2 linked regions of the Tribolium castaneum genome follow. The protein of the gene in region 1 purifies or fractionates together with the protein of each later gene. This does not show direct contact. Links are inferred from orthologs where the notes say so. Each region holds a gene or a part of one and is shown on either strand. Other genes may lie near its edges. The genes, in order: l(2)dtl and CSN6.

Evidence for each region.
Region 2: the proteins of l(2)dtl (region 1) and CSN6 purify together in Homo sapiens (affinity purification with mass spectrometry; 4 studies listed by BioGRID and IntAct, with this or other methods). This does not show direct contact. The link is inferred for Tribolium castaneum from reciprocal best matches to the Homo sapiens genes DTL and COPS6.

Annotation. Positions count from the first base shown.
Region 1 is NC_087402.1:4,539,741-4,543,804, reverse strand, and holds l(2)dtl (protein lethal(2)denticleless), read right to left. Parts: upstream 2,783-4,064; 5' UTR 2,641-2,782; coding exon 2,598-2,640; intron 2,542-2,597; coding exon 836-2,541; 3' UTR 698-835; downstream 1-697. Other genes in the region: beta-1,4-glucuronyltransferase 1, read right to left, coding at 3,040-3,252, 3,297-4,038. UniProt on the Homo sapiens protein: Substrate-specific adapter of a DCX (DDB1-CUL4-X-box) E3 ubiquitin-protein ligase complex required for cell cycle control, DNA damage response and translesion DNA synthesis.
Region 2 is NC_087398.1:15,420,310-15,424,651, reverse strand, and holds the start of CSN6 (COP9 signalosome complex subunit 6), read right to left. Parts: upstream 2,948-4,342; 5' UTR 2,862-2,947; coding exon 2,657-2,861; intron 2,606-2,656; coding exon 2,474-2,605; intron 320-2,473; coding exon 168-319; intron 117-167; coding exon 1-116. Other genes in the region: uncharacterized protein C9orf85 homolog, read right to left, coding at 3,221-3,781. UniProt on the Homo sapiens protein: Component of the COP9 signalosome complex (CSN), a complex involved in various cellular and developmental processes.

The sequences.
Region 1 (4,064 bases):
CAAATTCAAATCACAAACGAAAAATTCACAAAAGCTAGTTATTTCTCTCATTTTTTTAAAAATTACAAAATAAAAGCATCGAACGTTTGAACAAATACATGTTTTTTCGTCTCTGTCATTATCTACACCTACATAATATATTTTACATATTATACTATAGAAATGTACACTGAAAAAAAATTATAACTTCACAATGCTTTTTAAAAAAGAAACCAACATTCAAATGCAAACTTAAGTTTATAAATAAAACTATCGATAGCCTGATGCCTAGGCACGGATAAATGAGGTTTGACTGTATTGAAACAGAAGTACCCATTCTGCTAAAAAACGCAGTATCAAGTGGTGGGTGTAATTAGTATTTTTGGTTGCATAAAAAAATTGCCAGCTTCAAGATCTTAACTTTTTCTTTGTTTTCATCACAGGGGGAAATTTTAATAAGACACCTACCAAAATTAGGTACAAAAAAATTAATTTTCGATTATTTGATAGCTAAAATTAGCCGCTAAATAAGAAAGCGATAATTAAATTAATTCAAATTAAGTTGCTAAAGATAAAATTAATCACGAAATCGCGAATAAAATTTTGATTGTAAATTTAGCTAAGCAATGTATTACTGATTATAAAACAGCAACGGTAATACCTATAGCTGTTTTTTAGTGGGTATAGGCGATTGATTGTAACCATATAAAAAAACACATTCAAAATAAAACTTTTTTATTAATTTCAGGTCAAAAACAAGACAAAACATAGTATAATAAAAAATCATAAAAACAAACAAGACAGCTTAAAACTACAATACAAAGTCTTAAAATATGAGATACATTGTGTGCTTAATTTATTGACTGGATTGCGTATTCGGCGCCGCAACATTACAGTTTGAATGAGACTTCGTACACGAATGCCCTTCACACTTAACTTTAAAAAACCTCAAAAGGGGGCTTTTCGGCGCACATTTTTTCGGCGTCGCCTCCAACTTGGCCACTTTCGGGGGCGTCGAAGTGGAGGCTGTTTCAAAATCCCGCTTAAACTTCCTCTCCGTACGCAATTTCGTCAACCAGTCTTGATCCTTTTTCTTGGGAGGCGAAAAATTCAAATGTGGGGCCACCCCATCAATCACATAATTGGGCAAATTCAAAGTCAGCGTCTTCTCATCATTATTTTCCAAATTTTGGAAAAGGCGCCTCGGCCCCAATTCGCCGTGAAACCTCTTAGTCTCGTTGGAAATTTCCTCATCGATTTTCCGTTTGTTGTTAGAACAACAGTTTTGGCACACGCCACTGGTGGAAGGACTGTCGCACTTTTTGCAAGCAAGCGACATTTTTTTACTAATCGGGATTATTTCATCAATTGGTCGCTTCAGTTCGGACTGGACCGGGATTAAAGGCAACACTTCGGCGTGGCCTTTCCCGATTATTTCCCAATTTTCCGGCAGTTCCTCCGGGCCCACTCGCCAGATCCGGTGGGACATGTCGTCGGAACATGTGACTAAAGTCGGGTCGTCTCGCTCGCACCATGCCACACACGTGACTTCCGCCACATGTCCGGTTAATCGGACCAAAGGTCGCGAATGACTTGTGTTCCAAATATACGCGTTTTCGTCGCTACTCCCACTAATCAAATAATTGCCATCGCGACTGAGACACGCCTTAATGTAAAAAGTGCTGTTCTGGTGCCCCGTGTACCTCATCACGGGCTCAGGATTACACGTGCCAACGTTGTAACTATAAATCGTATTGTCTAAACAATTGGCGTACAGCCTGACACAGTCCCTATCGATGATAAGACTGCTGAAGCCGTTCTTCGTCGTGGTGCCCCCGTACGGGATTTTGTTCTTCGGCAGCGGCTCCTGCTTATAAAAGAGATAATTCTTGCGCAAATCCCAGATTTTGATAACCCCATCACCGGCACCGCACGAAATCAACGTATTATCGTCTTGGAAGACCAACCCCGTCACTGACTTGGCGTTCGACGCCCTCGAGGGACTCAAACACGTGCACTTTTTGCGCGTTTTGACCGGAGTTCTAGTATTGTGTGAGTTAAAAATGGTCCTATCGACCTTCCCGACCAAGCTACCCCCGAGTGTCCGCGTGTCCCAAATTATGATATTGCCGTCGCGCCCCCCAGTCGCAAAGACACTCGGGTCCTCTTTGCGGAACGCAATGGTTTTAACTGAGCGCGTGTGACCGAAAAAAGAGCGAATTTCTCTCACGTCGGCCTCCGCCACATCGAAGAGCTTCGCAGTGTGGTCCCCTGACGCCGTCACGATCTTCATATTGTCGAACATCCAGCACAGGTCGAAAATAGCGTTGTTGTGCGCCCGGATCCCGTAAGACTCGTGCTTTTTACTGGTGTCTTGAATGGCCAGTTTGCCGTCTTCGTTAGCGAGAGCCAGCAAGTTTTCGTTTGATTTTTGCTGCGCGAATTTGCACGCAAAGATCGGGGTATCACAAATAACATCTTCGGAGGATAGTAACTGGGTGTATTCGTCCTCTTTGGGGCACCGGAGACGCTTAATTACTTCGTCGTAGCGTTTCCAGCGGGCTAAAAGGGCGCGCTTTTTGTGACTTGAAAGTGAAAATATTAACAAAATGTGCTACCTGAGCCGGTCTGTTGCTCGATTAGCTTCTTCACTGGCTGCATTTGCACGATTTTGGGGCAAAAAGTAACAATTTCGCTGCGATTTCACCAAGGCCTTTGAGTTGTTGATGTTTCTAGAATGTGAGGTTAAAGCGGGAAATGTCAAGGGACGCACCAACTTATGTGATTGTGGCTCTTTCTCTCGTTTGGTACGTGTTGGAAAGGGATAGCACTTGGGACGGGTAGGCGAGCTTGGGTCGGGTCAGTCGATAAAACAGATGGGACAATATTTAAAAGCCGGGCGAAATTTGAATCAAATTCAATCGTGTTTTTCTTTATCGGTTTATTTGTTAAAATAAGCATGATCACAGGTCGGTTCAACGTCAACAAAACCATTGGCTCAATCGGCAACAATTAACTAATCTATCGCTTTGGCTAATCAGTCTAACTCAACAGTTTGATTTATTGCAGCTTGCATTTAGGATTATCGTCGTATTTGCTCCGCAATTCCTTGATAATTCTCGAGTAGTGTTTGGAGTTTTCTTGCTGGAAACTCATTCGCCACGAATTTTGCACGTAAAAGGTGTGCTTCTCCTTTTTAATCCCGGGCCAGTGGACCAGGAACGCGCCATCCAAAATAATGAACTGGTATCCTATAAGGCACATCTCCAACATCTGGAAGTCAGAATTAGGCGCTAGTCCTAGTGTTGGGTCCCCACCTGAGTCATCTTGTCTTGCAAACCCTCCCAGGACAGCAGTTCGCTGTACAAGGGGTCGGTCTTGCCCCCTATGTAGATGGGTTCCCAGCGGTGGAAAGGGTACTCCCGTTTGACGGAAACAAAGGGCTGAAATTGCAAATTGAAAAACTGGCTACGCCTGGCTTTGCCCACCTTGATGGTGTCACCGCTGGCGCTTTCGAGCCAGGTCTTAATCCCCGGAAACTTCTGGCAATGGGAGCAAGTGTGTCTGTGGAAGTAAACCGCTCTCTCCTCCTTGACCATCATCATGAGTTCGTCTTTCGTCCTCGGTATGACATCATAAGCCTCCACTTCGAACACAGGCACTACGAAAACGCGGGACGGACTTTTCTTCAAATGCAACAGTTTGGCCATTTTGACGAATCTCGAAGCCAAGTCTTCGCTCGGTATGAGCTGGATGTCAGTGACCATCACAAAATCGGTCTGTGAGTACGTCCGAGCCACGTTTCGGCATATGTTGATGGGGTACATGAGCTCGTTGCTCATCCGAAACGTGGCCAATTTGGCCGAATCAGGGAGCTCGCAGGTTAATTTTTCCTGGTGGTTTTGCAAATATGGGGGCTCCTTGAGCGGGAATACGAAGTGGACAGAGACTCGCCCCATTTCGGGGGCGCAAAAACACAGCTGTGTCAACTGGCGGATTGTTAGGTCGGCGTCTGAATCCGGGACAAAGGCGGCAACGCTAACCGGGCCTTCCCAAAATCTGCAAAAAACGTTGCAAAGTTTTGA
Region 2 (4,342 bases), on another chromosome or scaffold:
ACTCCAATTCTTTCTGCTTCTTCGGTTGCCAGAGTATAAGACAAATTAACAAATAACATTGTTGCTTCGCCCCCAATCAAATCAATTACAGACTCGTAAAGAGCAACCGGCAAATGCTAAAATAATTATGTTAAAACTAACACTTAAAATGCAGCCTGTGTACGAACATCAATGTTTTTGTCGTAGGGATTTAATTTAAGCAAAATTGGAGATTCATTAATGTCGCATATTTGCTTATGGATTTTAATGTCAGTGGTGTTGGGGATGTCTCCGGTGGTGTACCAACCAATGAAATCCATGTCACTGAACACCTGCTTGACTGCAATAGATTGTTAACAAACAATTTTTGTGTTTTCTAGTGTTTGAATTTACAATAAGAGTAGTTTTCTTATTTTTATTATTTGTATTCACCTTTCAAGCCAAGATCTCTGCGCTCTCTGGTGAACCACTCCCTTGCGAAATTTGATTTTGGCAGCTAGAGTACCATAAAAGATCTATTAAAAGTGTCAAACAGACAAAAAACGTTTGTACCTTTTCAAAAAAATTACATTTAAATTTCCCGCTATATGGCAAAGCAGCATTTCACAATTAACAACCAGAAAAACCAAAGGTCTTAACTTGAAAGGCGAATAATTGTCATAACTAAGCGCAAAACTTGAGAAAAATTAATAAAAAAAAAAATGAAAAAATATATACACCGTATTCGGTAAATGGACTGCCATCGCTTTACTGCGAACTCACAGGAGTCAGAAAAATATTATTCCGCATTTACATGAACTTTACTGTTTATAAAATTTTCAGCTACTGTATCCATACTTTACAGTTTATAGCAACCTTGTTAGAGTTGCCACCTGTCCGGTTTTCACTCAATACAATCCGGATATTAGACGATATGTCCGGTATCCGGATCAAATGTTAATTTGTAATAAATGTCCAGTTTTCTTAGGGTAATTTAAATTTTGTTGTATCTAAAATTAAAATTAACGACCAATTTTAAAAACTCTGCGATAGAACGCTTAATTCCATCTGTAATTTTTCTGAATTCGAAACTATCTAGTTGTTTCCAACAAATACTTTGAATATTAAAAAAAACTTGGAGTGAATTGGAAAAATGTAGATATACAACTTCTAAAAATTGAATTTACATTTTGCAAACAGGATACCGGATAGTTTTGCAAAAAAAATGATGCAGAAAGGTGGTTTACTGTTTATACAATGTGTTTTTAAATGATTCTCATCTAGTTAACTTTGAAATAATAAATACAGAATGTTAATATTCAATGTCTAAATGCCTATCATTAGTTATATGTTCTTTTACATGAGAAATTCACAGATGATTAGATGTGAATCATTCTAACACTCATTGTACAGGCTGCTGCATTTTAGATGTCGGAATAGGGGAACTCCAAAACTAAGAGATTTAGAGAAAAACAAGTGACACATTTTCTGGTCCGTTTTTTTAAAAAATAATTTTGGTCAACCGCATCCCGCTATCATCTTTTGTTTTCGACTTATCAACAGAACTTGACATTTTAACGAAATCTTAAAAAAAATCATATATATCTTCCTTATTATAAAAGATACACATTTGAAACACAAACATTATACAAGCACTTTTTACAGAGAATTTAAAAATGTTATCAGCGATTTTTTTAACCTTTCGTTTAGCTGTAATAAGTTTTATTTTTTTAAATATGAATTATAGGAGGCTGTAATATTTTTGTAAAGCTAATTTTTTTCTGATTTGATGTGTAATACATTCTTTTTAAATATTAAAAAAAATACATTTCGCTTTTTCTGTATAAAGTTGACACTAAAATGTCAACTTTTGTTTATAAGTCGAAAACAAAAAACGATAGCAAGATGCGGTTTAGACCAAGATTATATTCTCAAAAAACGGACCCAAGAATGTGTCACTTGTTTTTCTCTAAATCTCTTAGTTTCGGAGATCTCCTATTCCGACATCCAAAATACAGCACTCTGTACAATATTATTACTACAATATTTTTTATACTAATGCTGTTTGTTATATTTCTTGTATCAGTACATACTATTAAAACTATTGGCAATGTTTTTTTGGTTTTGTAATATTTTATTTGAAAATAAATTTATTTTTATTAAACTAAGTAAAAATTCTTAATACAAACGAGAAGTCAGGTAATAAGATGCCATTACCAGAGTATTTTATATACGATAATACGATAATATAAGAATGTAAGTTATTGTTGTTAGTCATTTTATTGTGGTGTCCAAAGCTAAAAAAAATCTGATGGTAACCCTAAACGTTGCCTACCTCCCACAAAAAATTTGCAGTCTGGCTAAACTTCATTATAATTTACAACAGATCTTATTCAATGAAATTGAAGAAATAAATGAGTCTCAATTACAACAAACGCAACCAACCATACAGAAAAAATCTTCCCTACTCTGATTAGTGATTACAAATTCCGTTGACCACACGGTACATACTTACATTGTTCTTCCTTCATGTTGTAATAATCCCTGTCGATAATAACATCCCCTCCAATTACACTAAATACCAGTTCAAATGAGTTCATTATTTCAATGTTTCGCCCCTTCTGTTTACCAATCAAAGCCCCAATCACTTAAAATGTAACATTATAAATAACTAACTATACTGTAAATGGTGTCGTACCTCGTTGGACTGAGCCCTCTTGAGCCTTTTCACGTGTCCAGTGCTCAGAAACATTCATTATCACCAAAGGGTGCAATGAACAAGTCACAGAACCGACAGCCCCAGCTGCCATCACACTTTTTTCCGAATCTTCCGCCGGATTATTTGCAACATCAGCAGAAGCCGGATTATCGACTTCCATTTCCATTGATTCTTTCGTACTCATATTAATTATTACAAGAAATTGAATCAAAATGTATAAATAACACCGCTAACAAAATGACAAATGACAGCGCTTTGACCCTTTGACAGATGTCAATGTCACAAGTGGCGCCAAACTTAAACGCAACATATTAACATATTCCTCAAATTTTATTAAATTCAAATACCTAATTAAATTTACTCATTAGACGAATTAACGTCATCACTTCCATTATTTCTGTAGGACGCATATAATTTATTACAAGATAATTAACCGAAATGACAAATAAGATCGCTTTGACAGAACGTGGTGCAACAAATAAAAATATTCGCTCTTTTATTTTATTATTTTAATTAAATTCTACAACCAATATATTACAAAATTTAATCATCCGACGAATCAACGTCATCAAAATCGCTGAAGTCGTCCAAGTCATCGTCAATCTTAAGCGCGTTGAGTTTGCTTTTCAAATCTTCCTTTCTCTCCTCGTCATTCGTCGAATCTTCCTCACTTTTTTTGCTCATGTACCTCAAAAACGTCCTCCGTTTGCGTTCCGGAAGCGTATGTAGCAAATTCTTCATTTCGTTGTCCAGTTTGAGTTGTTCCTTTTCGTCCGGTTTTGTTGTAATAACTTCTTTCGTTTCACAACATTTTGTACAAACACCAAATTTTTTTCCACAGTCTGTACACATCACATGATACGCTTTCTTCACGTTTTTCTGATCACATCTGACACATTTTCGTGGCTGTGTGAGCGGTTTGTATTTTTTGTACTTTATTTTCCACTCGATTATTTCCTTGCAACGGACACAAACGTCGCTGATTTGGATGTTGTTAATGTTTTTCGTGCGTTGACTTGTGTCGTGGAGGGTGTTTTTGAAGGCGGTTTTGTTTTGATGTTTTTGGGAGCGACTCCTTTGGGCGTTACCTTTTTGGGTGCTCATTTTTTCTGGAACGAAAACGTAGCTAAATGGGCTTTTATGTCTTTAATCAATTTTTTTGTTAAAAAAACTCATTTTTATTGATTTCTTTGCCTATTTCAATTTCAAACTCTTTATTGAATTGTTGAATGACCTAAAGATAAACACGCCAATAAAAATCAAAAAAGGCAAAAATAATTAAAATATGTTCGGCAAAACTTTCTCATTTTCTGTTTGTTTTTAGCAAAACGCTCGAAAATGACAAAAAGAATAATAAAATAAAATAAATCTCAAAAAAACTGACAATTTAGTTTGAAAACTTCATTTTTGACAAAGTTGTTATTTGTTTGGCGCTACTGTTGAAAAAACTTTGTTTTTACTTCAAAAACGTGCTTAAACACTGTAAAAAGGCAAATTTAACATCATTTTTGACCTAATTTATAGTACATTAAAAACAAGTTTTATAAGACGAGTCTTAATCTTATTATGACATCGCTCTTGATAACGTTGCGTGCTTTAAGATGCCCATTGAAACATCAAAAGGGCGGCAAATTACAAAAAAAATATTTTCAAACAGTTTTTAAC